Linked DNA regions of Diceros bicornis minor. The protein of the gene in region 1 binds, or shares a complex with, the protein of each later gene. Links are inferred from orthologs where the notes say so. Each region holds a gene or a part of one and is shown on either strand. Other genes may lie near its edges.

What was found.
Region 2: IGF2BP1 (region 1) and ELAVL4 share a complex: the UniProt entries of both Homo sapiens proteins name them as parts of the TAU mRNP complex. The link is inferred for Diceros bicornis minor from reciprocal best matches to the Homo sapiens genes IGF2BP1 and ELAVL4.

What each region holds. Positions count from the first base shown.
Region 1 is NC_080757.1:37,068,123-37,083,632, reverse strand, and holds the start of IGF2BP1 (insulin-like growth factor 2 mRNA-binding protein 1), read left to right. Parts: upstream 1-8,574; 5' UTR 8,575-8,914; coding exon 8,915-9,089; intron 9,090-10,269; coding exon 10,270-10,330; intron 10,331-15,510. UniProt on the Homo sapiens protein: RNA-binding factor that recruits target transcripts to cytoplasmic protein-RNA complexes (mRNPs). This transcript 'caging' into mRNPs allows mRNA transport and transient storage.
Region 2 is NC_080752.1:12,617,077-12,633,441, reverse strand, and holds the start of ELAVL4 (ELAV-like protein 4), read right to left. Parts: upstream 6,759-16,365; 5' UTR 6,563-6,758; coding exon 6,554-6,562; intron 1-6,553. UniProt on the Homo sapiens protein: RNA-binding protein that is involved in the post-transcriptional regulation of mRNAs. Plays a role in the regulation of mRNA stability, alternative splicing and translation.

The DNA.
Region 1 (15,510 bases):
TTCTTTTTTTTTTAAATCAGCATTGTGAGTAAAATTTACCCATGGTGGTACACTTTGCTGAAGTTGATTCATTGTTTCTGCTCACTAGTATTCCATTGCGTGACTATACCTGGCTTTACTTACCCATTCTCCTGTCGATGGACATTTGTAGGTTTTCTAGGTTCTGTTATTATAAACAATGTTGCTGTGAATGTTCTTGTACATGTCTATGGGTATCCATGTGCAAGAGTTTCTGTAAGGTAATTTCTAGTCTTTTATGCACACGTAGTTTTTTTTTTTTTAAGATGGTTCCCATCATATAGATTACATGAGCACAAATACTCAATTTTGTGATGTGCATTTTTTGTAAACTTTCTCCAAGTTTTTCTAAACTCTTTTTGAACATAAGTTTTAATGGCTACATAATATTTTACCAAGTGCTTATGTTAAAAGTTATTTGAAGATTTCCCTATTTTTAAGCATTTATATTGCTAAGTTTTCTTTTCTTGACAGTGATAACACATCTTTGTTCATTAAGGGTTTTTTTTTTTGAGATTTTGAAAAAGCTAAATTTTTTTGTCTTTTTTAATCATGGTGAAATATACATAACAAAATTTATAATTTTAACCATTTTTAAGTGTAAAACTCAGTGGCATTGAGTACATTTTCACTGTTGTGCAACCATCACACTATCCATTTCCAGAACTTTCTCATCCTCCCAAGTTGAAACCCTATACCTGTTAAAACACTAACTCCTCACCCCACTCCCTCCTCCCAACCCCTGGTAACCACTATTCTACTTCCTGTCTCTATGAATTTAACTATTCTGGGTACCTCATATAAGTGGAATCATATATTTGTCCTTTAGTGTCTGACTTACTTTACTTAGCGTCATGTTTTTAAGGTTCATCTATGTTGTTGCAGGTGTCAGAATTTCATTCCTTTTCAGGGCTGAATAAAATGTTTTCTATACTGGCTTTTCGGTAGAAAAGTTACTCAAAAGTGCAATTCCTAAGTCAAACAGTATGAATTGTTAAAGGTTTTTGTTGCCTTAAAATTGTTCTCCCACACAGCCACATAGGATGTTTTATTTCACTATATTCTTGCTAGCAATGAGTATTAGAAATTAAAATTTGCTGTTTTCATGACCTGCTTAATTTTTGCTCTAATTTAGCCTGCCATACAAATTGGTTTGCCTTCTCCTTGAGTGTAGATAGCTAGGATATTCAATAAGCATCTGCTATGGGCGGGTGGCTGTACCAGACGTCCTGGTAATCACTGAGATGGAAAGCTGTTGTGGGGTGCCATTTTTGCTTTGGATGACACAAAATAACAAACCTTTACATGGTTAGTGGGGTGCTAGTTACATTCCCAGAAGGAAGAGCCTTAGAGAGCTCTTGGCAGGTTATCTGGACTGTCCCTAGAGATTCTCATCCTGGCTATGTGGCATCATGGAGATCAGGATGGAAAAGGGATGTGCCAACTAACTTTGATGGTTGCCACTGACTGCCTGAAGCTCCAAATTGAGCAGAATTCGGAGGCTATTTGACCAGGAACAAAGGAAAGAGGATGCTCATCAGTGGATGTTGGGCGCAAGACTAGGGAACAACAAGCCCAGAGATACCTCTTGGTTGCTATTGTTGTTGTAGACCTATCAGCCTTTTGAATGACTTCATTTACTTGTATTTCATCTGATGATTGTGAAGTACTGTATTTACAAAAAAAGAAAGAAGGAAAGAAGGAAAGAAAGGAGGAAGGAAGGAAGGAAGAAAGGAAGGAAAAGAAAGAAAGAAATAAAAGGGAGAGAGGGAGGGAGGGAAGAGGAAGGAAGGAAGGAAAGAAAGAAAAAAAACATTTACAGGCTGAACACAGCATTTTTAACCATGTCTTCTCCCCAGACAGTATCAAAAGATACTTATTAAATATATATTTTTGGACACCTGTCAGCACTGTCTTGGACTCCCTGGGTGATACATAAGTTTTTGCCCTGACGGATTTGATACATAAAATGCTAACAAAATTAGTTATAAGCAACATAAGACACAGAAAAATGATACAAAGAAGTAATAGTGTCCAGTGACGATTCAGACAAGAAATGCTGGGAGTATAGGAGTGGAGGAGCTCTGGGGTCTGAATCACCCTGGGGTTCTCCTCAAAAATGTAACAAGTTTCTCATTTTGGTGTATAAAATAATTCAAGCATCTCTGTATCCTTCCACTTCACCAGAAATAACCGTTTGAATGATTACAAGTTAGTGATGGGGGAGAGGAAGAAGGAAAAGGGAAGGAGTGAAGAAAAGGATAGAAAGTTTGGGTAGGCATATTGATTAAAAAGAGGGAAGAAATGGGTTGAGGGGCAGAGGAGCTGGAGAATAATAACAGGGGGAAGAGAAGTAACAAAGAAAAAAGAGAAACAGAAGAGCGTTAAGGTAAAGGGGGAGGAGGAAAGGAATTGACAGTGTCGGGAGTAGGAAGAAAAATGGAGGAACAAAAGGAGGGGGGAGAGAAAGGGGAGGGGTGGGGGGAGGGGCAGGGAGGAAGAGGAAGATAGGGAAAGAGACCATAAACCTCATTTCAAAGCAATTTAGAAATAACTCTAATATTTGTTTCCTACACATTTTATAAACACATTTTAGAAATGCAAAGAAAATCACGAAAATTTATTCAATAATTTATCATATAACTGCTGACCAAATACTTTTAGGTTATGTTTAAGAACGGAAGTTAAGTTGTGTTAATAATAAGGCTTAAAAATTTGAGAGCGTTTATGGGAGAGGTAGGTGGACCAAAACTCTTCGTAGATTATTAACCCATAAAAATCAGAAAGCACTTTTAGAATTGTATCTCAGTTTAGTCAAACAACCAGTTTTTTAAAAAAATACTATTAGGCTGGGTCCCTTTTCTTTGTAAAACTGGTTTGTTTTACAAAGACAGATTGAAGTGTTTTTAATGAGTAGTCTGGTGATGAAATATTAGTGAAATAGTATATGTATTAATTTTTTAAACTTAAACATAAAAAACCATAGTAGCATCTCCTCTTAACTCTGAAATATTTGAGACAGCTACTCAAAAAAAAAAAAAAAAATCCTGACTAGAAACAGGAGTAAAATCAATTAATCTTATCATCAGGAGTAAAATTTTAAACAAGCAACCAAAAATAATTTGCATTCCAGATAGAAAAGTTCTTTTAGTCTTAAAAAGCGTAGATGTTATGTAGCTAAAATCAAATTAACTCCACACAGTTTGATGTTGTAACTGATTCATTTTGAATTAAAATCATTTAAATACTTAGAAGATACATATATTTCAAGCACAAAATTGTCTTATCACTATGTCCACCTTAAATAATATTTAGTTATGGATTCCCTCTCTTTTGTTGCTTTTTATAATTTGTTTTATTTTGAAAAATAACATTTATTTCTTTATCTTTTCTTGAATTGTACAATTTCCCCCCAAATGAACCAGTGATCTATTTTGCATTTTGTGAAAATAGGCACTAGACAAAGTTGTTCATTATCTTTTAACCAAATGATTTTGGAGTGGAAAAGAAAGCAAAAGGCAGTTCTAGTGTAGTGTGAAGAATGTTATTGACCATTTCTTTTACATGTGTCAATAGAGGCTAGTGTGGTGTAGTTTAATTTACTAACACATCGAAGTTGGAAACATCCATTTTTTAAAAGTTAATAAAATAAACGATTCCCTTCCTTATCTAAAAGTTTCTGCATTGTAAACCTGAGCCAAAACAAAAAGTTGAGTAGTTTCATCACACACACACTGTTTGACCCCTAGAAAAACAAATGATTGTTCTTAAAGTTGCTTTTTTCTCCTTGAGTCTCTTCTATCTCTGAAATAAACACATTTCTTTTTAATGTTTTAAACACTGAAGACTTTTAAAGAAGAATCTGGAGGAGGAAAATTTTTCTTTTCTGCTTACCATTCTTTTACATTTTATGAGTTATCTCAAACACATAATTAATTATCCTTATTTATTTGACAGGAGAAAATGCTGCATGTGCTTTTAAATTGGGACTCATTTACACTTTTTCAAAGTTTATGGGCATTTAGAAGAACCACACTAAGACTTCAAGTTGCAGGAAGAAACAAAATATCCCCAGGCAATAACAATGAAATAACAAGCAAACAACAGCAACAAAACAAATCAAAACAAAGCAAACAAAAAACAAATTCCTCCAAAAACTTTGAAATCAAAGCAGCCATTTGTCATGAAATGTGAATTTTTCTTCTTCTCTATTTTATAGAAACCATAATTTTATTTCAAAATTGATTATGGGTCATTAGAAAATAAAAAAAGGGACAAATTCTATTTTAATGCCTTTCTCTCCTGCTTTCCATTTTTTTGTGACTTCTCTTTTGTAAAACATGCTAAACTTTTAAAATAGAAAGTCATTGATAAATGTTAAATTTAAAATGCAATATATATTCTGGGGATATATTCAAATGAGCTAATCTAAAAGAGGAAAAAGTTACATGCCCCAGAAACATCTATTCAGCACCACTTACAAAAGTAAAAGAATTTGATGTAACTTACATATCTAAAAATAATGATTAATGATTAAGATTAACTTACATCTACTGGACTAAATGGTACGTGTTGACTAAAAATGATAATTATGAAAACTTTGAGGCAGCATGGGAAAATGCTTATGGTACAACACAAGTGAAAAATTAAGATATAAAAATAAGGTGACAAAATATAAAACTATTCCAAATGAACAAATACTGGAAGAAATATTTAAAAATAAAATTAATTTTATATGACAATGGTGGAATTGTTGATTTTTTCACTTTATATCTCCAACTTTTTAAAGTGTTGTTTTATTCTCTTAATTTTTTTTTCCTCTCTGCATGTATTTGCAGGTTCACATTGAAGGAAAATGGATCTGAATCCCATCTTTAAAATGGAGTCAAGTTTCAGTGTTTCTGAATTCAGAGAACTGAATTCTAGAACTAGACCAAATACTTCTTCAGGAAAAATGAAGAAGGAGGAAGAGAAGACCAAGAAGTATAACAACATCAACAATAATAAAATTATTATTATTAAATAAATTATTAAAGAAAATAATTTATCCTGCAGCTATATTTTTAACTCTCACAACTAAATATAATTCTGCATTGAAGATTAATCTTTCCCCGAAAAGCTGTGTGGAAAAAAACCTGAAAACAAATACCATGTTTATTAGTAGTCTTTAATATAAAAAAAAAAAAGAAAAGAATGATGATAAATTATGGCATCCCAACTTGGCCCATGCTTGTCCCTCACCTAGGAATGTGAGTCTTGACAAGAAAGAACCCTTCTCTCAGGTTAATTTTAGTGCTGAGCTCACTCAGAGGGGAGAGATGAAGCACCAGTCAACAGGATTCAGTCCCCCCAACCCCAGCCTAAAATAGCCAGGTCACTGAGGCAAAACTGATTTGGGGGCTAAAAGAGTCTGCATCTCACCCCAGCTGTCTCCAAGCTCTTGTGTTCTTGCAGCCTCTGACTACACACAGAAGCCCTTGGTGGGGTGTGTGTGTGTGTGTGTGTGGGGATTAGAATTCAGTGAAACAGCTGATTTTTAAAAAGAACAAATCAGTTACGATTTAGCAATAGTTGGTAAATTTTTAATTTAATACATTTATATTTTCTCCTCTACTGTCATTTAAAAACATTTAAACTGACTCATTTCAGCTAATATCTAGACTTCTATTATATTTTTTAAGTGGAAAAAAATCAACCTAAAAGTGAACTGAATTCAATTATTATTTTTAAATTTTTTGTTTCCCTTTGAATCTAGGATAAGAAAAGGTGGGCTGCACTTTACAGGCATTTAGAGGTCTGTGTTGAGGTTTTTGTGGGGTGTAACTTGCTTTTGTTTTAGGAATAAAGAGATAGAGTAGTGGATATGTTCCCCAGGCAGAAAAGCTGAGAGGTGCTTCTATTAATTCCTAAAGATTTAAACTAAATAAGGAAACAGCTCTTAAAGTTTCTGGGAACTGAAAAGTCCTGCCTAGTACCCACTTCTTTGTCCCCCAATCGAACAGACGAGATTTAAGGAGATTGGGGCTCCTCTTTACGAAAAGGCCAAAGAACACAACAGCCTTTCTGAGACCATCTTTTAGCCCTTTCAAAAGTCCACACACATCACCAAGAAAAGTCCCCGGGAAACAGACCTACACATTCTGGCCAAGATAATTTTTTTTTCTTCTGAACTCTTAATTTTCCTGTGCATTTTCTTTGCTCTGCAGTTTGTATTAGCTTGTTTTTCATTTAAAAAAATGTTTATTGAATGCCTACTATGTGGTGGGCACCGTTTCCAGCTCGTTGGTTTGTTTTAAAATTGTTTATGGTCAAGAGTTGACTAAATATTAACAGTCAGAAACAGTGGGAGGGTGGGAGGAGGTGTGGGGGCTGGGGTACAGATGTCGCCCACCCCAACATTCTTTTTCTACTCAGCAACTAATAGCTTATAGTATTTTAATTTCTGTCGCCCTATGGAAAGAAAAAAATCACAAAAACAAAAATCCGACAAACACGTGGCTGGCTAGAACAAAACGCGGATTTGGAGGGTGGGTTTTGAAGGTGGTGGAGATGGAGAAACCGAGTTGGAAGCCTTCCCCCGCCCCCACGCTCAAGCCCCGTTTCTTTTCAGCGCGCGGGGACAACCGGGAGGGGGACAAAGGTGCGGCGTGCTGTCTTTTAACTCCCGACTTTTTGAACGGAATGAAATCGTCTGGCAGAAGAGTGGTGCGCCCAAGTCGGAGTCAGCTCACTGACTCTGCACACAAAATAATAACAAGAAAAAAACCCAAGGCATTCATATCGGTGCAGCCAACACGTGTTGCGGAGTCGGCCCGGGCCGCAGGCGACTGAGACAATGGGGTCGGGGACCGGGAAAGGGAGAGTGACCCCCTTCCTCACCTGCCCTCGCAGCACGCGTGTCCCCGAACGAATGATTTCTCCCTCCTGCAGAACCCGGAGCAAACCCCGAGCTTCCGCCCAGTTCAGGGAGACTCTGGCATTACTGGAGGTCCACCTCCCTCTTTCCCCGGTTCCCTGGCCAAGGGGGCTCCAGGGGCCCCGGGCCGCGCTCTCTGCCACCCCTTGGTGCCGTCCCAGCCCCCGCCGCTAGAAACTCGTTGGCCTCGCTCGCCACTCGGGCCGGGGTCCCGGTTGCGCGTGGACCGCGCGTCCCGCTCTCCGCCGTGTATCCGGGACTCCGAAACGCGCCGCCAACTGCCCCCTCCCCCACCGCAGAGACGGGGGTGCGACCGCCCACGTGTCGCCCCTTGCCCAGTCGGGTCCGTCCCTCGGGCTCCGGGGGCCGGAGGATCCGGAACGAGTTGGTCAAAGGCGAGGGAAGGGACCAGGGCGGATCCGCTTCCCCCTCCCCAGCAACGGGGAGGGGGGAGGGGCCGCCGCCCCCTCCTCCAAGCTCCCGCCCCTCGCTTCCCCGAGCGCCGAGCGGAAATTACCCCCTCCCTCCGCGGGTCTGACCTGGGGACGTGGGCGGGGCCTCGCGCTCAGCCCCCTGCCCGCTGCCCCTCTCCCGCCTTCCCGCCGGGATCCAAATCCTGCACCCCAAACAAAGTTCCCGGACCCGAACCCAGTGCTGGGAAAGCGGCTGTCGCTGTCCGGATTGGAGCGGGCGGAGGGGACTCCACCTGTCTGCCCCCGCGTCCGGGAGGGAGAAGGGACCGTGCGGATCTCCACCCGGTCACTCCCTCCCCGAGACCTCCCCCTTCGGTTCGCCCGGGTCTGCTCGCGCTACCCCTCCTCTCCTTCTCTCCACCCCGCCCTCTCTCCCGGGGTCATCTTGGGCCGGAGCCGTGCGTTCCCCCAGGACCCCGAGACGTTGTCGTTCAACAGCCGAACCCCGGCTGTGAGCCACCCTTTCTCCGGTGGGAATCCCGAAACATGATTTCCTGTGGATTCCTCGTTCCCAATCGCGACCCCCCGTGTCCCCAGCTTCCCGGTCCCGCGCTCGCAGGGCCCCTCGGTCCTGGATTCCCGGAGGCGAGGGAGTCTCCTAGGGCTGGGGCCGGGCAGGCCCAGAGCCCCCACTTAAAAATCTAGGGAAAAACCGCCTTTCTTTTTAAATCACCGGCTCGCGGGACCCCCTCCTGAAGACCCCAGAGTCCTCGGCTTCTCTTTGTCTCTCTCGGCCGTCCCCCGCCTGTCAGTCGCTAGCACTTAATCGGGGTAGGGTGGGCAAACTCCCCCACCCCCGGAGCACACGAATAAAAAAATCACCGTACATTTTACCCATAAAGAGGTGGGAGATTCTGGGCCCGACAACCCTCCCCCAGCTAGGGCCGGGGTAGGGGGATGGGTGGGGGGGGTGGGGCGCCTCCCTAGGGACCATATTCTTGCAAAAGGGGAGGGGACAAGTAAAGCTTCGGGAACGCAGCCCCCCCTCCCCACCCCGCCCAGTTTATCCGGGGGCGAGTGTCCCCCCTAGGCGGGAGATTGGTGGGCTGGGCCTGGCTGGAGGGTCGATGGGCCCTGAGGCGTCGGGGGTCTTCCCCTGCAGGGTGGGTGGGGGCTTTCACCACGTGGCTTCGCCTTTTTTTTTTTTTTCCGCTCCATTTTTTTTCAAGTCGATTTTATTTAGAGGCGGCGCCAGGGCGGCCACGGAGAAACGTGACACACCAGCCCGCTCGGAGGAGTTTCGGACAGAAGAGAAGGAGCAGCGCCGCGTCGTCCGCCTCCCAGCGCGCCGCGGGCACTTCTCCCGGGCCTCGCCGAACTCTCCCGCGACCTCTGCGCGCCCTCGGGCCGCCCTCCCCGCCGGGCTCCGGACAACTTCAGGGGTGGGGTGCAAAGAAAGTTTGCGGCTGCTGCCGCCGGCCTCCCGCCTCTCGGCCTAGGAGGCTCGCCGCCCGCACCCGCTCGCTCGGCCTTGCCAGGGACCGCGTCCTGCCCAGAGCCCGCCACCATGAACAAGCTTTACATCGGCAACCTCAACGAGAGCGTGACCCCCGCGGACTTGGAGAAAGTGTTTGCGGAGCATAAGATCTCCTACAGCGGCCAGTTCTTGGTCAAATCCGGCTATGCCTTCGTGGACTGCCCCGACGAGCACTGGGCGATGAAGGCCATCGAAACTTTCTCGGGTAAGGGCACACCCACCTCCCGGAGAAAACCACAACGAAATCCCTGAACAACGGAGACCTGCGCCGCCTCTTTCCGTGCCCGCCACCTCCTCTCTCCCCGCGGCCTGCGGGGCTCGGCCTCGGTACCCACCCTCCACCCAGCTCCTTCGACGCCCCCTCCACCCCCCACTCCCCTCTCGCGCGGAAATATTCGAGATTTCCTCACCCCTTCCTCCCAACCCGAGACGAGCAGCTGGAGCCTTTAGTAAGGTGGCCCCCTTACCCCCCACCGACGGGGCGGGAGCCCCCACTGGCAGTGGGGGGTCGCCAGCAAGGCGACCCCGTCAGGGCGTTATTTCCACGTCAGCCCCTCCCTATCCGCGGCTGGAGGCCCCTCCCGCCCCCAGCGTGAACACCCCCAGCTCCCCTTCCTCCGCCTTAGGCCTTTCCAGGCGGGGCAGGGGTCCCCGCTCAGTTTCCGATCTCCCGGCTTTGCGTGGGGACTGCAGCCTTCAAGCAGGACCCGCGGGGAAAGGGGTCCCGCCTCCCGCCCAGGGCCTGGGGCTTGAGCCATTTTGATTTGAAAGTGGGGCGTGAGCGGGGTGGCGCGGCCGCGGCGGCGCCGGGTCGCCATGCTGCTTCCCGAGACGCCGAGGCTGGGCCGAGAGGCGCGCGCCGCCGCCACCGCCGGGGACCCTCCCTGCGGGGCCCCGCTTCGCTCCCCCAGGGCCTCTGCTCCCGACCAGTCCCGACAGGTGACCGTCCCGCCGCCCAAAGCCCTTCTCCCTGGCTGGACCGAAAAATAAAGTTTCATTCTGCACCCCCCTCCCCCCTGCAACACACTTTGGGAGAAACGAGAGCCCTTTCTCTCTCGGCCCCGTCTTCCCACATCTGGGAGCCGGATAGGCAGCCCGCGCACACAGACGCCCGCGCACCTCTCCCAGATCGGGCTCCCAGAACGACCTACTACTCAGCCAGCCTCGATGAGATAATAGAACAAAACAAAAATTAAGAAAACACAATGAATTTATAGATTCCACCATTACCAGAGCGACCTTTTCCCACCCGGCTGCGAAACTCACTGCCTGATTCCTACAAATCCAAGTAACTCCTGAATTACCCTAATGCCTTTCTCTTTCCTTTTTCCGCCCCCCAGCCCTGTTCAAGCTCTCATATTGTCTCTCCTTTTTTTAATCCTTAGGCAAAGTGGAACTCCAAGGAAAACGCCTAGAGATTGAACACTCGGTCCCCAAAAAACAAAGGTAGGAAAGAGCTCTTTTCTGGGGAGGGGGGCAGCCTGGGGGAGCCGAGAAGCTGTGTTCAGGGGTCCATAGTGTCTCCAGTGGAAGAAACCCATTACTGGCCTTCCCACCCCCAACTCCGGATGTTGGGGGCAGGGAGGGAAGATTGGCTAAGATCTTGTAATGAGTGGTTTACAGCTTGTAAAAAACGTAAGCTGGGGCTAGGGTGGGCTAAGAGATGTTATTTGGAGAAATAAAAGGGAAAAAATAGGGGAGAAACCTTGAGGAGTTTGGTCAAGGGGTGTGGGGCCATTTTTGTGGGGAAGCTAAAAAGATTTGAAGAGCTCAGACTCATGGACATTTCTGCAACTTCCTAGCAGGCCTCATTTTCTCTATTTTTTCCCACCCTTCACTCACCATAATTCTTAAGTGGATTGGTGGGGGTCTCCTTTCACTCCCCAGGGGAAGTGGAATGAGTTCTGCCCCTAAAAGAATTTTCTTAGACTTGTGCTTTATTTATATTTCTGCAACAGGCATGGACATTACTTTTTTACAGACCCCTACCCCTAGTCCCTCACATGCACATCCTCCCCTCCCAACTGGATTTTGCAAATATGCTTTGGCTGTACTATCCTTTCCGAGGCCCCCCCCCCCCCACTCCTTCAGTCCATTGTTACAGGGGGACCATCTGGGGTGAGAGCTTTGTGTTCAGGCTGTGAGCTGGGGCTCTTTGGAGGGTCTAGAACTCCCTGCATGAATGGGTGTGTGTGTGAGAGAGACAGACAGAGACAGAGACAGAGAAAGAGTGTGTTCCAATACCTTTCTATCCTCACTTCAGCAAACTGGGGTACCTCTATCATGTTATCCCCAAATCCAATTCATGGTGGATTTCAAATCTTTCATTGAACTCTGGCTGGGAAGTATAAGGGCCGAGTCTTTCTGCTTTCTCAAATCTGACTTTAAACATGTTGACAGTGCAGAGTTTTCTCTCATGTTGCAAACCCCAGTAAATCTTTGATCCTTTCACTCCCCCCTCCTCTCATTTCAACTGGAAACTTGCTGAATTTCAGAATAGGACCTGGCCTTTTCAGGGTGGGAAGGTGGAGGTGGGTGGCTATGCATTTTTGGAGGTGGCTAAGGGTCTAGAAAGTTTACTGTGAGGTAAAAATCTGTTCAGTGGTTTAGCTTGAGATATTGAAGTAACTTGGAACTATTGTATCTATAGATGATCAATATGGCTTGTAACTATGTTTATAGAGCTTGTGATTTAACCTCAAGTGCTTGAAGTACTCTGTTATTGGAAAGGCAAGTAGAGTTAGGAGGAAAGAGGCAATAAAATCGGAAGGAAGAAAAAAAGTCTTATTTATTATTCTGAAACATTTCCTGGAGATGGGAATGAGAGAAAAACATACACTGACACCAGTAGAGTTATTGAAAAGATTGTGCATATTTGAACTGAAAGCTGAATTTTTGAAACATGTTGATGAGAAATATCCAGAATAACTGGAATTCTGGAATTCCAGTTCCAGATGTGTGGAAGTTTTCCTTTTGCTCTTCAGAATGGTTTAAATTTTAAAGGGAATGAAGTGAAAAGCAGGAGAAATAGCAAACTTAGGAAATGGAACCCAAAACATTTATATTTTAATTTTCATGGTGCTCTGTATTTATGGATCTTTTCCCCTAAGCTAGCTGCTTGATTTCAAGCCATTTTTAGGCTCCTTGTTCCCTCCAAAATGCATTACTGAGGGCTCTTTGGAGTTGGGAAAGGGTGGGGTTTGTGAGAAGAGTGAGTACAAAATCTTCCTTTCCACACCCATATTATATTAAATTCGATCTTTTGTGTGTCCTCCCCCTTCCTGAAATAATTTGAGCACAAACACTGAGTCAGTTGTGTTTTACTTTTTGGGGGTGGTGGTGAGAAGGCACTTCATTTTTCTAGAATGAATCCATTTTTGAAGTTTTGGGATTTAAAAAAAGAAAGTTTGTTTTCGTGAAGTCAGTTTGCTCTATCATTTTGTGTTCTTTGAGGAAGTGTGTTGTGGTATGTGTTTTTAGTCTGTCTGAAAAGTCTTCATTTGGTTTGTATACTGGCTTTTTCAATCTCATGTATAGAACAGGAACTATTTAATTGACTATGACTAATATATTAAGCAAAACGGACAACTGTGCATATATATTTTATGTATATATACTCTCGTGTTTTCACTGTTTAAAATAGAGAACTCTTCTTGATGCACTCAGTTCCAAATGAATTATGACTGTAAACATTTCTAAGAGATTCTTAAAAACTTGAATGTTCCTGTTTTTTTTTTTCTTGCTTTTTAGAGGGGAGAATCAAACAAGATAATATTACTGCAGTTAACCTCTGAGCACCTCTGATTTTGAAGTATTAATATATTTTGTTCTAACTTTGTATCTATTTGATAAATATAATTTGTACCTTTTTAAGAATCCAAGAGACTGAACACTATACATTTAAACTGAAAACATGTCAATTTGAATTTTTTAAATGGGTGACATTAAATTTCTCTGAGATCTTCCTAAACCCCCTGTTAGTCAGTGTTGGAATTTTGGTCAACAATTCAGCTTTTTGTTAAGAATTTGTATATATTAACTGTCAAATACTAGGACAAAGGAGAAAAACCAAAAGCATTTTTAAGATAGTTGTGGAAAGGGTTTGTATGTGTATTTTATTTTGAGAGACTTAAGACTAGTTAAGATAAAGGGATACCATCTTAGTGAGACTTGTTTATTTTGGGAAATGACTTGCTTTTAAGGGAATTAAACTTTTGTTTCATTTGCCACTGTGTATGCCTTTTTCTAGAGGAATGTGACCTAATGATAGCATACCTGCTGTCAACTGGTGTCATCAAAATAAAAAGTGTTGCTGTTAAGAAAAAAATGAAAGAGATGTGTACTTCATTTCTCTTGGTGAAATGTATTCATGTTAAAGACTGATTTCCTTGGGCAGGTTAATGGTGGTTCTTTTCCCTAAGTTGACTTAAAATGAGGTGGGCCAGCCCTTTGCCTTATAGTTCCAGCTATTAAAAAAACAATTGGTCTGATAGCCATATGTGTGAGAACTCTCAGAAGAGAAAGTGTGCAAACTTCATTCTGATTGTGTGAGAACTCTCAGAAGAGAAAGTGTGCAAACTTTATTCTGATTTTACAGTTTAATTTTCTAAAGTTAGCAGCTTTAAAAATCTCTGAAGGGATGTCTTGTAAATGGCAAAAATAATATTTTTAATTTTAAGTGATTTGCGGAGGCTCTGAAGAAATAATTGGATCACTGAATGTCTTCAAAACAAGCAAGAAAATTTTGCCTTCAAAAATGGGTTTGCCTTTAATGAAAATTATTCTTAGGGGCTGAAAATGAATTATAAGGGGGAGTTAAGAAACAAAGGAATGTCTTAAAAAAAAAAAACAAAGGAGTAAATAGTACTAGAGGGGGAGGATTTTCAGGCACTTTTGTTTTACTGGTTGTAGGTAAAAGATATATCTGACCTGTATTCAAAAAGGTTTTCTTATTCCTATTAGGTTAGTTTTTTGGGCTTTAAATAAGTTTAAAAAATGGTCGATTCTTACATTTTTCTACTGTTTAGAGGAAAGGTGGAAATGAATTCACTCTCCCCACTTTAATTTCTACCTAGAAAGTAAACTTTACAAATTCATAAATTTTCTTCACTGCTAGAGAAATCCTTAACTTGTTATCATTTAGTGCTCAGTATTTCAAAATGACTTTCCTAAGGACACTGGTATTTGACTATCCTTTGGAAGAGTTGAAGGTGTCCAGAAACCTTTATTTTCTGACCCAAAGTAGAAAGATGAATTTTTACTCCATGGGTTTCCCAGATGGAGAACTTTTGAGTAAAGAAGGGGAAGAATTGTAATTCCCATCACTAATTTATTCAAAGTGTAGTTAACTGTTCCAAATGTAAAGTTTTAATGGTGCAGCTTTTGGTGGAAAAAGAGCAAAACATTCTTTCTTATAATTATGTTTTAGAGATGAAATACATGACATTAGCCATTGGAAGAATCTTGATTCAAAGGTTCTGTGCTTCTAATCTTTTAAAATTACCTTAATATATGTCATTTGAATCTGTTTTATGTGTTTGGGTAGTTTAAGGCTTAAATTTTTGAGTTTATTTACTCTATACTTTAATGTGTAACAGCCACTTGACAGAGGTACCATTGAGATAGGCTAGTGGGTATATGATTTTAAAACATTAAAAACACACCAAAAAAACCCACAAAAAAACAAAAAACAGAAAAACAAACAACAAAAAATATATAAAACATTAAAAAAAATTCAGATCTGGTTTAGTTGAGTGGAAAGAGGGAGACCAGCAAGTGCTGTTTGTTGAAGTTTAGGGATTTTTGTGTTGAAGAGCTATGTACTGGTTGTACCTGTGTTGATTTTTGTGTGTAGGGGGTGGTCATGGTGGTGATATTGTCATTAGGATAAATGTATCAACCGAAGACATTTGAAGAACACAGACATTTTGCCAGCTGTTATAATTTAAATTCAGTCTTGTTCGCTCCCCATTCTCTTAAAAGATTTTTAAAATATGGCTAATGCCTTCCAGAAAGTGCAGCTTAGATTTTGGGATGGGAGTGTTAGGGAGAGAAAAGGGGAGGAAAAAAACAGCAGGGGAGACTGGAGAAATCAGACGAGTTCGTCCTGGGTTGGAAATTCCAGACGGGGGAAAAAAAGAGAGAGAGAGAGATGGGGGTTGGGGTGGATTTCCCGCCTCGCTTTTAAAGAGGAGCAGCGGCTGGAGGCGCACAGCGACCCATGGGATAGGGGGTCGCAGACAGCAGGTTTGGTAGATTCGGCGACGGGCGAGGCTATTTTTGCTTTCGGAGTTGCTTGCCTTCCCTTCCTCTTTTCAAAAAGCAGAGAAAGTCGCGGCCGCGCTGGAGGCGCTTCCTGGAGAGCCCGCGCCGGCCCCGCTGCCCTAACCCTTCCCCGCCCGCCGCAGCCCCAGCCCTGCCTCGCAATCTCTGCCCGCTCTGCGCTGGGGCCCCCGCCTTCCTCCTTTGAACAAGCCCCTGCCAGGGAACATCTGCAGGCCTGGGTCTCCGAAGAGCTTCCTTCCCCAGGGTCCCCGAGACCTCAGGCTCCGGCGCGCCAGCGAACAGCCTCCGCCTTAGTCTTTGGAGCCCCCAGATCCCAAACCTCGCCCACGTGGAGAGTTTCC
Region 2 (16,365 bases), on another chromosome or scaffold:
TAGCTAGCCTCTACTATGAACACAGTCGGCAAAACAACTCAAGGACTAGTTGTTACAGGAGAGTAGACAATAAAAGGTAACTGATTCACAGAATGAGCAGGAGTGGATTCAATGCCACAAAGTGCAGAGAGAGGAAACCTCCATGCTGTGGTGTGTTTTTCAGATTTCGCTGTCTCGGCTGGAATTGTTTCTTTGCTTCCTCATATCCTGAAAAAAGAACTAAACTTATTACAGAAAAAATATTTATGAATTACATTTTTATAGCTTTAAAATGAATAATTAAAAAAAGCAAAGTCAAGTTTAAATGTTATTTTCAAACCAAGAGTCCAAGGGAAGTTATTTTCAGGAGAGACCTATGACGTGTAATTTTTTCCCATTTTTAAAAAATCACTATGCTAGTTTTGCATTTGACTTTTGTGGTTAAAAATAAGGCCTTCGAAAAACAACAAAAAAAACAAAAACGCAAGCACACCAATTACACTGACCTTATTTCTTCAATATTTTCACCGCTTTCTCAACCAAAATTTATTTAAGGATCTCTTTATGGCATTCAGCATTTCTTGATCCTTGTAGAGAGGGATCCATATTGAGGGGGAAAATATCTCTGGTATTAGATACGACAAGGATCTGAATAATGATCTTCCCCAAAGCAAAAAGGGTCAGTCCTAAAATGGTCCAGCAAAAGGCAAAATCTCAGAGGTGGGGGGAGGCGTGGGGAGAGAGAGAAAGAGATAGAGATAGAGAGACAGAGAGAGAGAAAGCTGCCAGTCTATTGGGAGCAGTGACACTGCGTAAGTTATTTCTTAATGAATGTACAGGGAACAGCATAAATATTACCACTAAGCAGGGTGGATGTCAGCATCCAAAGCAAGCTAGCTGGCTGATTGCTTTTTCATTTTTTTGGTTCTTTTGTAACAATTCCATTTCCAAAGTGCTTGATTCCTAACACTGATGCTCCCAAGCTATTGTGAGCACACTGCTTGAATACTTAATGAAGTAAACAACAAACAAAATGGCTCATCTTTGGTGCCCCCAACTAGCATCCCGAACTGGATATAATTAAAGGTGTGAACAAGCAAGCAAGGAAGTAATGAACTTGCAAAGTCAAGGTTCTCAGAAATTATTTGGCATCCCGCACTGCAAATTTATCACTCATTATCTCTTATACCGGCAAGGTGCAGATCCACATGTTGGTATCCCTCTCCACTCTTGTACTCCAGTCTTTTTTTTTTTCTTTCCATTTCTAGAAGGGTAATTTATGACAACTACTGCTTGTGACAACTCCCACCCACCCACAGATCACCTTTCTTTTTACCCTTAGAAAGCCACTGACCTATAAAAGCCCTCTACTCTTAAAATACGCTGAGATTTTAAAAATACAAGGATGTTCCAAAAACACACAACACACACACACGCTCACAAAACAAAGCATGAGATGCTAACATGGCCACCCTACCTCCTCCTTGTTTTTACCAATGTTAAAGATTAGTTTCAAATGCTCCCAAAGAAAAAACAACTCTCCTTCCACATAAGCATATATTTTAATTTGAACCCAACCCCTTGATTGAAAGGGCAGCTTCTAGCTCACAAATATTGTTACGGATTGCACACTTATAGTTTCTCTAGTGGCAGCTAAGGAAAGGTATTTGGTTACTAACGGAAGTCTGCAGAATCTGGATATATCTATTTTTTAATGAAGTTTTGTATTTTTCTAATAAGAGAACTCTTGGAATTTGTGAAAAGGAGAAGCCACTTCTTATGGGAAGCCAGCCCAGTTTGGTTTTCTTTCCATTTTCAGATGCACATATACTTGCAAGTATGTATACACATTGGGTAATACCAAATAAGGAAAGCCTAAGACAGGTGCAGGATTCCAGAAACACACACGCTTACACCGAAAAGCACATACACACACACACACACACACACACACACACACACACACACACAGAGTCTCCCTCTCTCACATACACATACTTTCCACATATCTATCAAATGGATGGAAGAATGGATAGTGGGCAATAAAAGGTTGACTTCACTTTCAAAAGGGGAATTGGCCAATTCCGTACCACATGGCCCATCAACTGGAATAGTAAGATAAAAACTTGAAAATGTTTATGCCCCTTCACATCCCCAAAATTCCCAGTGACACTGGGAAAAAATACTGCATTGCAGCATTTGCCAGCACACACTCATGTGTCTAGCATCCGCTGGCCAGCTCACCAACTGATGTACATATTAAGTGTCCAGGCATATAAATTAAATGCCTGGTGGCCACAAATCATTGGAACTGATGAAGAAATTTATCAAGGCCAAAGTACTTCTGTCCATGTACAATGACCTCTATAAAGACCACCATTCCTTACCCGTGGCACACACAGATAATTTGTTTTGATTTTATTTTAATTATAATAAAGCATTAAGATGCCAAGGGCTAATTGAAGTAGCATTATCTCCTCATAGAAGGAACAGTATTAGGTCTACATGTAGGAAGAGAATCCACCCCCAATAAGGAAATATGTGCAAAGGAAAGAAACCAAACCAAAGAAAAAGACTTGCCCTGAGGAAACCCTTTCATTGTTCGCGGTAACTCTTACTGGAGAAAAACACCTTCATTCACCTACAAATTCTTTTAGAGATATTGAACACAGACACACACACAAAGCACCATTCATGCAATGATTTCCAGATTTGAAATTTCAAATAGATTATCCCCAGTAGAAATGCTAAGTCTAAAATATCCGGAGTCTAACATGTCCCAAACCCTGTTTCAAGACTGAGTTTAGAACTAAAATACAAACGTGTAGCTCATTTTCTTTCTCTTTCTTTAAAAAAAAATTCTATTTTTATTACCTCACGACAATCGAACCTTCATCTCATCACAAAATCCTTGAAAATTCCAAGGACCAAGGAAGGGCTATAGGAAGAGAAAAAAGTTTCAAGGCTCTGGAAAACTATCAAACAGAAGCAAGTTCATCTGTATCCGGCCAGGAGGATGACTTGAATGAATGGCAGTTAGGAATGAATGGGACTGAGATCACAAATGAATGGTTAAGTTGCTTGCTGGTTTTTTTTTTTTTTTTTTTTTTTTCTTAAATGGGATATTAAAATTGTCTTGTAAATCAATGATTCTCAAAGCAATTTTTCAGCTATTTCCCCACTGATGTTCATTTTACCCTTTCAAAATTTAAATATTAAATGATTTAGCCATTATGTTACAATGAGATATATGGACAGTCTGGTCATTAAAACTGAGATATAGTCAGGCAGAAATATTTCCAATCAGATTTTCATTTCTTAATAAACGCACACTCAGTCTTCTGCTTCCATAAAGGCACACCTCCACAAGCAGGTAGTAGGCATTAATATTTTTAAGACAAAGGAGCAAGAAAGGTCAGCGGTAGAACCACATGTCTTTTTTACAACCCAAGACAAGGTGACAGTTCTTATGGAAATGATTTTCCCCTAACTAAAAAATACCATAAAATTCTCAGAAAAAAGTATAGTGGAGATAACCAAAAACTATTCTATTTTTAATAGCGACATATGTTTACACACTCAAGATGAGAGCAAGGTTCCAGTGTATGACAAAAAATAAAAGTTTAATTATTTTTACCTCAAGAGTCAAAACAAATTTTTAAAATCCCCCAATGAGAAGAAAAAACAAAAAGAAGAATCTGCAAGGAAAAAAGAATGGGGGGAGGGGTGCGGAGATTTGCAATGGAAAAAGTAAAAATTAAGAGTATTTTCAATAAAGCCAATTATATTTTATAACCTTTTAATATATTTCAGTATTTTTTATTCTCTCATTTTGGGGCTTAAAATTAGCTACTTGATCATGTATCTAATTTGTCTCTCAGGAAGAAATCGTAACACATCATCGTTTCAGTGGTTTTTACGCTACCTCCTATTCACCTAAGTACTACACCTTTCAGTCCTCCTGGTACCCACCATCATGAGAAAAAGAGACTAGTAAAGCACTCTTAGAGAAAAAGCGAGAGATGCCTGTCACCCAGCGCACACATGGGTCCCAGACGTTCAGAGATACCGAAAAAAAGAATTCAGCTTTTCACTCAGTTTATGCCAAGACCAGAACCAGCACCAAATGCTAAATGGAAGGCGGTGGTCGCAAGGGTGCAGCCTGATAGATCCTGTGGCTGAAGGCATGGAGAGGGAAGCGAAGAAAAAGGCTAGAATACAGCTTTTTATTGATTATTTTTAAAAGTAATTTCTACTCAAGATATAAAATGAGAGCTACAATGAACTCCCTGGAACTGTAGTATCAACATCTGATTTAGTAAAAATACCAATATTACCTAGCACAAAGTCATTGCTTAGGGTAAATCTATTCTACCTATATTTCTCCTATGGATATTTGCTGGAAATTTCTAAGAAGTCATTTGCAGAACCTATCAGCTGTGAGAGTTCACTATTATGCTTCCATCAACTTCATTCAATACAATTTACATTTTTTTCAAATGGCCTCTCAGGATTCCTTGCGATTTTTCGCACGTACAATTTCACAGCAGGGAAAAGGGAGAAAGAGAGAGAGAGAAAGGAAAAAAAAAAGCAAGATTCCCTACCCTCCCTTCCCCCCTCCTTCTCTCTCTCTGTTTTTTAAAACCAAAAAAAAAAAAAAAAAAAAAACAGGGGAGACAGAACAGATGCTTAAAAATAGATTTCTAAAAATCACTGTAAACCAGAGTTAGAAATGTAATTAACACCTATTTATAAAGAATAATTAAAGTTGGGCCGGCCACAAAGAACAGCAAAGATAATCGAGGTCCTGTACCCCCCCCCCCCCCGCTTTTTTTACACTGTTTGCAGTGTGTTCTCATGATAGCCACCTGCTCCCTATTCGGCTTTTCCTCTGTTCGTTTCCCCGGCAACCTTTCATTGGGTTTTCCTCCCAGCTATCGCTTTCAGTTGGGCTGCTCGGTCTAATCTTATTTGTTTTACACCCATCAAAACAAGCAGCCAGACAAAGGCAATCCTCTAAGAATGGGAAAAAGACCACAGCTTTGTTATAACATCTATGCGGAGCGAAAAGTCCTCCCCGGGCTTTTCTAGTGAAAAATAAGTGAGATGGATATGAAATTCCAGCCTCCCCCCATACCCAGCTTTGAAACCCCATGAAAGCTATTGCTGGTGAAATTCAAAGTCAAAGTGGGCACTCGCGGCATCTGATCATGCCATTTTGTGCCATATCTTCAGGGTCAACATCAGGCGACAGGAGCGGCACTCAAGGAGTTTCCCTGCTTCTTTTTTTTCAGAAAGAGATGATGCTAAAAATAGATTTACTACTTTGGCAGAAAGGTTTTCCCCTTCCACATCCAAAAGTCCTGTTTCACAATTACATCTGCTGGTACTGAACCTCACCTCCTCCACCCCTCATTCCCAGCCTTCCCCATCACTCTTAGCAGGAGACGGAAAATGAAATGTGCCTTTAACTTTAACAGTCGTGTAATTCTGTTGAAGGCTCACAGAGGCGGTGGACACGCCAGCTGACAGCGACGGTGACATTGTGATTGTCAAAAAGACACCAACCTTGCTTGGCTAAAATGTGTGTCTATGGAAGAGGCAGTGTGTGTGCCTAGTGTGCATGCAGTGCCATTACACTTGGAGGTGGATTCTGGTTTTCAGAAAAGAGAAATACTAATAAACACACACACAAACGATCTGCACAGTGATTTATGATGCACAGTCCACCATCCTTACACACACACATACACACACACTCAGCTGGAATCTCCAAGCTGCCTTCCTCTTTTCACTTACCATCTTCAAGCCATTCCACTCCATCTGTGATCAGCAGAAGATGGACCCTCACACAGTGTGTCAAAAGCGGAAAGGAACGTTATGTAAAAGCTGACATTCCTCCTTACAGAGCTGCTGCCCAGAGAAGGAAGCAACAACTCAACACGCCAGGCACCGCTACACATACAAGCCGCCTCCTCTTTTTTATGAGGTCATGACAGGAAACTCTTTGAAATACAAGATGCAGCATTTACTGAAGCCCAAATAAATCACTCTCTTTGCCGTTTTGACTGCGCACCCCCGAAACACAACTGCCCATCTCAACGTTCAGTATCCAGGAGCTGCTTCTCGAGGTTTAAATTTCCAGCACGGGAATGGAGAGATTCCTAACCCTGCTGCATCCACCTCGAGCCCCACAAAACCCAGGCACGTAGACAAACCCCCACTCCCTTGCAAAAATAAAACCCTTCTTTTGGCATTATGGTCTCATGTAATATAACCTCTTTCAACAAACCAGCAATTATTTCAGCCCAACTCCCCCTAACCCACCTCCCCCCACTGCCTTTACGTTGAAGGGAAAATTGACAATGACCTCTTAAAAATGACAATCTATTTCCCCACTGCTTTTCAATACAAGGACCTACCCGCACTCTCTACACAAAAGAGATAGTAAAGGTAGGAACCAAACAGCAGCAGAGAACTAAACTCTTGTGCAAGCATAAGACTGGTCAAAGTGTAGATGCTTTTCTTCCCTCCAGCAACACAAACAACAGATTATAAATCTAGTCATACCTACCATAACCATTCTTATTGGCAAATATTGGGTCTCGCAGAGCTTCGACTCTTCTCTTAAAATTTGCAAAGGTTTCAGAATATATTTTTTTAAATGACTACTATTGTTGTATATTTTTAAAGATCCACAACACACAGTGTGGATGATTGTAAATTAAATCAATTATTTGGGGGTGGGGGGGAGATGAGGGGGAGAGAAAGAAAAAAAAAAAAGAAAAGGAGCAGTGAGCCGAAACTCCCGATTCTAGGATGTAGATAAGAACAACTGAACAGAGCCTTGCTGAAATTGGCTCGAAGCTTCCCCTTTTTACATCCATTTATGGGACCATCTGTCAGCTGAAGCCAGGATCTGATTGGCTGGGGAAAAGAAGGGAGGCGTTGCAACATCAGGTGCTATTTAAATTAGCTACTGCCAGATTGACGATGTTAATGATTTGGTGACCTCTACAACAACAGAGACCAGATTTCTGAACTGCTTCTTGTGTCTGGTAATTAAGGCCAGGCTGAAGCAACAACAGCCATACTTGTATTTTTACCTTTTCCCTCCTCCCAGCTCAAAAGTACTGTAACAACTGCAAGTCACTGGTGGCTTGCAAACCTTAACAGTGGGAGTGTCCTCTCTTTCCCCTGTCCTGAGGGCTGCACCACCCTACCCCTCTGACAGAGGGCTTTTCCCATCTAAAATATTTTCAATCATCTTATCTTTCTTGACAGTTGCTTTCTAGCGAAATGCATATTTACTGATCTGCCTCTAGGCTTAAAGATATAACAACAAAAGCACTTCAATGTGCTAATACATCTACATTTTAACTTTATTATTTCCCAATATTGCTGATTTTTAGCAAGTAATGCTCCTTCTGCAGCTCACATGACCAGGTTTCAAACGAAAGCAAGTTTGAGATTGTGCTTGCTCCCTGAACTAGGTTCATACAAGTTTGCTTCAGAAAACTATTTCCTAATAAACAAAAAAGAAAAAAAGCTGGGGGAGGAGGGGGCAGCTGTCAGCCTCTACCTTTCTGCCTTCTGTCTGAGCTTTTCAAAACAGAGAATGATGAATGATTTATTTAAATGAATTTATTTCTCAACTTGGATAGGTGCATGATCTGAATTTTTAAAAATCCACTAAAACACATTCTTTCTTTGCTTTCCCTATTGCTATAGAGAAAGGTAAAAATATGCTTTTGACAACAGACTCATTTCATAACCGGTGCAGAGTGCCCATCTTGTTTTACTGAACACGTGATTTTGCATCTCTCCTTCAAAGGATGTTTTCTTCCTTTGGCCTCTTAAAAGACTTGCAAGGAGACATTTAGCAAGTGTGTGGTGATGTATACAGTTTGTCTGCCTATGTGATACATTTCATAACCTCTGATACCAAGCCTTCAGTTAAGATACTTTTTTTGTTCTGGTTTGAGTTTTAAAGTGGTTTACCTCAGGAGTTTATGCTTTACTTCTACCCAAAAAGTTAACTTATCACTATTTAATTCATAATTTAGTCAATTTGTTCCTCAATAAATATACAGAGGTTAACAAATATTACTGAAGACGTAATTCAACATAATTTTTAATCTTTGGCTGAAGTTGACAGCAAGATGGGACCGAGCAGAGTAGAAATATAGGCCAGAAATCATGCTACACTCTGGGCTTCAAAGTCCAAGAATAAATGGGTCTGTGAAAAATTATTAGAAAAGAAAATAACCTTTACATTTTTAAAAAATAAAACTATTTTTTCTAAACTACTAGTTCATGAACACACATACAAATACATACATATATACACACTTTAAAAAATACAGATACACCACAAATCAATGTGTGTTGGGTACACTATCTAAACTATTAAACTGGAATTTAAATAAATTGAGCTATTGGAAATGAAAATACATAAAATAGGAAAGTAGAAATGTTAAAACTATAATCCCTTCAAGAGGAACAATACTAAATTAAGAAAACTTTAAAATAATTTCTTTAGCAAAATGTATAAAGAGTCCTACGAGTCACAATAGTGCTATAGGATCTGTTGAACTGTGTACTAAGGATGAATTCACAGGTTAAGTGTTGTAAAGAGCTCAACAGATATACACAGGGCAGGTACAGGTGCCCCAAATAGACAAGAGAAACTGAGTGCGATCTCACCAATATCAAAATATTGTGAAAAGTAAACATAAACACAGTGCTGACAAACACACAAATAAAAACAGCCGGCTTAAAACCCCTTTCTCCCACCCATATTAATCTCAGCACACTTAGTGAGCCACAAATTAACATTAGGTATATCAAAAGATATTCTCATCACTTTTCCAAAATAGTAACTGTATATCACAGTATGAATGATTAGCTGGTTTTGCTAGGCTAAAAAAATCCATACACTTTGTGTATTGATCACTTCTCCAAAAACCTCCACTCTAAAGTCTTTCAACAGAATCCTCAAACAAATGCACAAATATCCTCAGAGGCTTTTTCTCTAAAGACAAAGGCAGAATCCTATTGTTGGGAAAAGTCAACCTTATTATTGCATTTCCAATAGTACCATTCATCTTTCAGAGTGAGGGGCTGACCACTATATCAGTGGTGTGACATTTGTAAAGCAACAGATTCTCAACATATTATCTCAAGAATCAGGCAGGCGAGTCTCCCAGTCATGCATGATTTTTTTTTTTCCGGCACAATCCTCCACCACCACAGAAAGAAACTTGTCTCACTCAAGCAGCTAAGGCAACCTAAAAATGATATCCCAGAGCTGTGGGGCTGCCAGAGCGGCTGTATCCCTCTTACCATAAATGAGCAGTTTCTTGACTCATTAATAACAATTTCCCTTAAAAGAAGTAATCTCATATCAGTCAGCCCCTCGCCACCATGCACACATCCCAAAGGTTGCAGATATCTCAGCATCAGTCGCCGGCAGCCAGCTTTCCCACACAGAGTCCAGATGGACTGTACCAGAAGCCAATTCAGCGTTAATAACTACCTACTCCGCGCAGTGGAGAAGCCTTACGTGGCACAATGGGCTAGGAAACAGCAGCCAGCTGAAACTGCAAATAAAAAAGACAACCAAATTCTCCAAAAGCACTGAAAGGAAGGAACAGAAATGGAAACGTGAATTGTATTTCCTTGACTTCCATGAGGAAAATAAAAAGGAAAGAAAGAAAAAAAAAAAAAGAATCCTTCATAAACATAGGGAAAAAAATGAAGGGGGGGGGAAACAGATGCTGCCCAGAAAAAAGTGACAAAATATTACCTCATTATTTAACAAAGCAGCATTAAGCGTCTTGCTGATTTCAAACATCTTGCCACAGATTTTGTTTTAAGAGAAACAGATAGAATCCTTTGCAAAGCACTCCGTCTGCAAAGGGTTCTTCAATTTTCTTGCGCGCCACGCAACAGTCAATATATTATTTCCCTAGAGTTCGCACATTAAAACCTCTAGTCAGTGAGCTGAATTTTCCCCTTATCTCACACACAGTAGACTCCTGTTATATGCACTGCTCTCTTTGCAAGAGCAGCCTGCCCCAAACATGGCTGGTGTTTAAACTACTCTTTAAAGTAACAGTTCACTAGATAACCACCAGGTGGGTAGAGAGCACAGATTCAAATGAACCATCTTAAAAGACTGTTTTTTCCCCCTTGGAATAGCTTTTGGGTGTAGGATGTGACATGAGAAACGCCAGCACCCTAACAGGCATCTTGTCTTGTATCTCTCTCTGTATCTTGTGAAAATAAATAAATAAAACTCCTTCTCTTGACTTATAGAGAGGAAACAAAACAAAACACCATCACCAATTCTAATAAGAACTGTGAAGAATGAAACACAAATAAGCTTTGTTTCATTCAGCAAAGGATGAACAAGGAAAATCCAATCAACACAGAGCAAGAGGGAACACAAAAAACTCCATGGAAATATTTTCCTTCTGCAAAAAGAGAAAAATATTGACTCACGTGATAAAAACCCGATTCAAAAGTATCCATATGGACGAAGCACATACAAGATGGAGGCAAGAGTTTAAGAATGCAACTTTTCTTCTGAGTAAAACATTAGGTTTATTTGATATGGTCTTTCATGATAGGAAATAAGCAAAAGCTTAAAAGTAAAGACACTGAAAAAAAATCTTAAACATCTCTTAAAAACACAATTACACGAACAGTTATAAACAACCACAAGAGCAAACCAATCAGCTCTCCCCTCCCAGTGCTGTTCGTTTTCGCCAAGACCTGCCTTGAAGTGGAACATTTCTGTCGTATACTATTTGGGATGTACAGAAAACTTGGTGTCTCCTTTGTACAATTCTATTCCAATTAATCTGCTCCTCTGCCAGGAATAAATAGAATGTCCCAAGTTGAAAGCCCCAGTGATGGAGGGGGGATGTTAAAAGGATAAAAACCCACCTGGACAAATAAATCTCATCACTTATACTGCTATGGCCTGATTTTAAGGAGGATTTTATTACTTACAGAGCGTGCATGCACCGTTCTACGTTCCCTCGTATCTAAAAGAGAAACCAACACACACTGATACCTGGGATTTTGTTTTCTTGGCTGGATAAAATTAAAGCCCTGAACTTCCACATCCCCTTGCAAACACAGATGTCAATACTAGTATTTTTCCAGCTCATCCAAGCAACATTTAGCTACACACAACAGTGACTGTCTCCTTCATCTTTAAGTCAAGGCTGCATCACTTAATACTATTTAACCTTCTCGCATATATTAAGTTTCAAGTGAGAATTTTTAACTGGGGAGTGAGAAGGAGGAGTTGCTCTCATCAAATGCTGGTTGTATGAAATAAGCTAATTTGTACACTCACCATATGTCTTAAACATTAATTAAAAATGTCACTTTCTTCAAACATTAAAATGTAATCAGCCTAGTAAATAAAATATTCTCGAGTTTTCTTGCCTTGGTGATAATTTAAAGAGTGTTTATCTCAAGGTAACCTCTCTATTTTGATTACCAAGGAAGGCTTTTGATTTGAAAAGGGAAAAAAAGAGATATTGGGGGCTGGGAAAGTGAGAAGAGAAAACCACAACTGTATGTAGCTGCACAAAGGAAAATAAGATGAAGCAGGTTTTTAAGGACCCATAGTCTTGTTACCCTAAGGCAAATCCAGCCAATCAATACCACCCATTGACGGTCCACCATCTGCCATGCTACCCAGTGATGTGGCGAAACAGACCTGCTCCATATGACTGTAGCCGGCTCATTTTCAGTCGATTAGGGCAGTTCCAGAGCATTCACGTGTAATAGCACAAAACTCCAAGTCAGACTGAGCCTCTCTCTTCACACCACTCCCTCCAAACACAGCTGCAGATCTTTTCCTCCTGTTCTGGGTGTCTGGATTACCTCTTCTTGCCCCTCAATTGAATTAGCAAAATGGGGTGGGAAGGTAGAGCGAACAGACACTCACATATCCACACACACACACGGAGATAATTGCTGGCCCTTCTTCACTGCCATGCAGAAATCGGGAATTCCATGTGCTCTGCCCTAATATGATTATGGCACACCATTTAAATAGCGTCATCAGTGACTATGACCTGACATTTTCCTGTGGTTCAATTTCTTTTTATCCTCCCCCTCTTCCCTTGAAAAATAAACCTAAACTGCTGGCATTTCTTCCTCCAGGGAAAATACAATCAGTGTGCCTAGACAATGGTATACTATATTTAAGGGCTTTTGATAAAATTTAAAGCCTAATTTTCCTTTGATGAATTGTGGTGTTGGTTTTGTCTTTTTTCTTTTTCCTGTAGAAACACCAAATCAAATTTTATAGGAAAATGCAAACTTACCACAGAGGCAAGAAAGATGTACCAGAGTGACACGGAGTCTACCAGAAGCATCAGGAATTCACTGTTGATGTTTTCTTAGAGATATATGACCTGAACGTGTGATGCCTTTCTCTTTCCTAAGTAGTTTTGTTTACTATGGATTGTGGGAAATAGCTAGAAGAACACTATTATATGGGGAAATGTGACAAATGGACGTCTAGTCCACTTAAATTGCCAAGAATTCACCTGTGCAGGTAAACTAACCTAAGGCTCAATTCACACTTGATCTTCCTGTTTTCTTTCCATACTCCTAAGCCTTACGCTATAACAGCAGCTGAAAGCAGAAGGTTTCTTTCCAGAATCAATGTACGCTTTTTCAAATGTGCCTTTGACCGCACTCTTAAAGCACTAGGGTGTCTTTCCAGGAAAGAAAATTTAAGAGACAGGAAAACCACCTTACTTACAAAATTTTGAAAAAGGTAAATATACACTTATCCAAGAACTCTAATTTAGGTGAAGTCCCTGTCTGGCATTTCCGCTGATCTATTCTTCCTTATAGCCCAAGAAAACTCAGCAGAGTTAACGTGCAAACACACAGAGATTTCTGAAGATCCCTGCATTAAGGGATTTGAGGCCTTTTCATTTCAGTTCAGATGAGCTTTACTAAAAATAAAACACAAAGAAACAAACGAAAAACCCTAGTATAAATATAAATCTTTACAAATCAAAGCCCACTGAGCAGGTAAGTAGGGAGTAGCTACTCAAACCATCAAAGGATACAGTGTTTAACCAGATTAATACAGTTTTGAAAATAATTCAATAGCGGGTTTTTCTGGACTCATTTACAATTCTGTAACTACAAATAAAGAAATAGATGTATCGTAAAAGGCAAGGAAGGTAATTTGTAGAAGGAGGAGGAGGAGGAGGAGGAAAAGGGGAGGGGAGGAGAGGGAAGAGGAGAAGAAATAAAGAAATAATAGGACTTAAAAAGTGCAAATAAAAACTGCCATCTTTTACCAGGAGTCTACTGCATACCCAACACTGCACTAGGCACCTGACGTGCACAATCTCACACAACATCACAGCAGTGACACTTGTTATATCTATGCAGTCTTCTAGAAAGGTGTTTTCCTCATCTAAAAGTAAGATATTCCCTCTAGCACTTCATAGAAGAATATGCTTGGTAAATATTTGTTGAATGAATGAGGAAGATGGGCACAGACTAGAAGAGAAAGCAAAGGGAGGAGAGAAGGCATGCTCAATTTTTTCTCAGCTAAAAATGACCAAGAGATTTCTTTGTGATGTGCTTCTAACTAGGCATGTCCTCAAAACGTATCTCATTTAATCTATCATCATGACCAGGCTGTAAATGTGTAGTAAGAGAGATACAAAGGATTAAAGCTGCAAAGCAAAAAATCTTACAAGGCAGGATGAGTACCCGATTGAGTCCCCAGCCCCACTGCCTACTTCCTCTTCCAAACCTGGCAAAATGCCTAACAGAGTCACTGCTCAGCAAACACTGGTTAGATGAACTTCTACGTCTTCAGCCCCTTACAGCACAGAGCCTGGCTCCAGGCAGCACTCAGTTATGGGGAAGGAATGAAGACCAAGAGGTCCACTCATCATAACCTCAAATACTATCCCAGGGATTATTTCATTTGACTCAGGTAGGGGTCACTGAACACCTTCTATTAGGGGAAAATAATATGCTAGGCTCCATAAGCCTCAGTTTTCCCATCTGTAAAGTGGGCACAATAATACTTCCCTTAAGGTTTGTTGCCAGGATTAAAACAGATTTAGCCTTGGTGGAGGCAGCACTCTAAATGGTAGCTATTATTATTAATATGGAGAATAGGAGAAAATTGTATGAATTATCTTATAGCTAGGTACTAATTCAATCTTGTTGAACAAGATACAATTCAAACATTCTCAAAACAACTGGAGGATAATAAGACAATAATAACTAAGGAAGCCTGAATGGTCTGTTCCAGTTCTAATGAAAAATGCTGGCTGCAGAAAAACATTTACTTAGTCCTGTGGACAAAGTTCAGTGCTAAATTCTTAGTGTGAAGAATAAAAAGAAATACAAGTCATAATACCCACCTTCAAGGAGCTTACAATCTGGTTGGGAAAAGAGCTTTCCTTTTATGCATCAATCTTGGTGTGAAAGGAAGAATGTTAAAATAACAGCATCAAAATAAAATACTAAAGGATAGTGGATGGTGAGGATGCCATCTGGAGTGATGGGGGAAAGCTTCATGGGAGAAGCTGGAACTGAGGCTAGGCTTAAAGAATGATAGGATTCATCTAGGAAAATGCAGGATATTTCATATAAGAATAAAGTTCGGGGAGGAGGGCAGGAAGGGGATATTGGTAGCCAGCTCATCCTAACTAGACTCCTCTGAGGTCTCCTTTGAATCTATCCCAACCTCTTTCATTTTTTTAAAGTTAAAATGGAGGAATGCTATGATATGATGACTATAGGAGAGCAGACCTCTTATTCAGTAAGTACTTTTATAAAAGGAACAGGAATTAATATTTATTGAGCATCCACTATGTGTCAGACATTGCACTAGGTACTTTGCCTACAAATCTCATTTAACCTCACAACTCTGAGATTTCCAATATGGAAACTAGAGATTAGAGAATTTAAGTGATTTTCTGAAGATCCCGCAGCTAGTAAGAGGTAAATTTAGGTTTCAAACTTATATATGTCCAACCTTAGTCCACACTCTTTTCACCATAAATACTACCTTATATAGAAAAGCATAGATCTAAAGAAATTTAAGTCTCATTCTCTCGGAGAAACCAACATTCAGAGAAATGTCTTTGACATCTGCTGACATTTAAAACAATAACAATTAAAAAACAAAACAAAACAAAACAAAAAACAACTAAGCTATGCCTGCAATTTCAGTATTCTGCCACCAAGGGATGATAGAATCCTGGTCCTACGAGACTTACAAGGGTCACATTTTTGCCTGCTAAAATTTTGTGTGTGTGCTATTCCCTCCTCCATCTCCAGAAGTGGAAGAAAGAGTGCCTGATCTTCAGATGGAATCATCCACTAAAGCCCTAAGACATTAATTTTCCCAAATATTTTCCAAATTTTATTTACAAAAAACTCAACTGTGGGCATAATTCTAAACTTCAACAATTTTCAAACAATTCTATTACAGATTGTATTCAATGAATTATAGTTCTTTGTTACTTTCACACAGTACTGTGAGCTTGCAGGGTAGAAATTGTATGTTATTTGCCTTATAACCCCAGCACGTAGAATATCAGTACCTGGAACATCATGGGCACTCAATAAAAGAACATAAATCATTGATTCCAAATATTTTAGAAAAACTTTTGAACAAAATGCTTAGGGCATAATTATTTGGTACTTTATTCATTAATATGTATCTTTCTTTATCAAGTCACCCTTAATGCTGGGTTATTATAGAAAGCCCTTTCTCGAGGTTGGTCATCAGCAGAAGCATTTCTCTCAGTGGTCAGGCACTTCCTTCTGCCTTAGCTACGGACAGTCTACATTCATTATGAGCCCTGCCCTGCTCAGTAGCCTAGTCTACCTTTTCAACCTTCTTATGCCCAGGAAGATTGCTTCCTTTCTCCACGGGAGGTGAAGAAAAACTTGAAAAACAAGAGAGGCATGCTATATAACTGTCAGAAAGAGGCGACTCTCCACTTGACCCTTTTTAGTCCTTCCCCTCTCTGACTCTGAAGCTGGGGGAATGATTTAACTACTTTTAAGCAGAAGAGTAAAGTTACACATTAGTGCTGAGTAGCCCGTTTCCCTTAGCAACCCCTTAGCAACGGCAGCTTCAAGTTCAAAATACCTCCTTGAAAAGGATCACATCCTTAACGAAGAGGAGTATTTTTTTTAATGTAAGGTTTTTGCATAGAAGTTTTAACATTACAACCCCCAAAGCCTTGCAGGCTACAAATACCTATTTCATGCTAATCTTCCTTTATGATATTATGTAGTAACCATAATGATGCTGGGCTCCCATGAAATTTCGGTCCCTGGACAAGCCCTGGGCCTGCT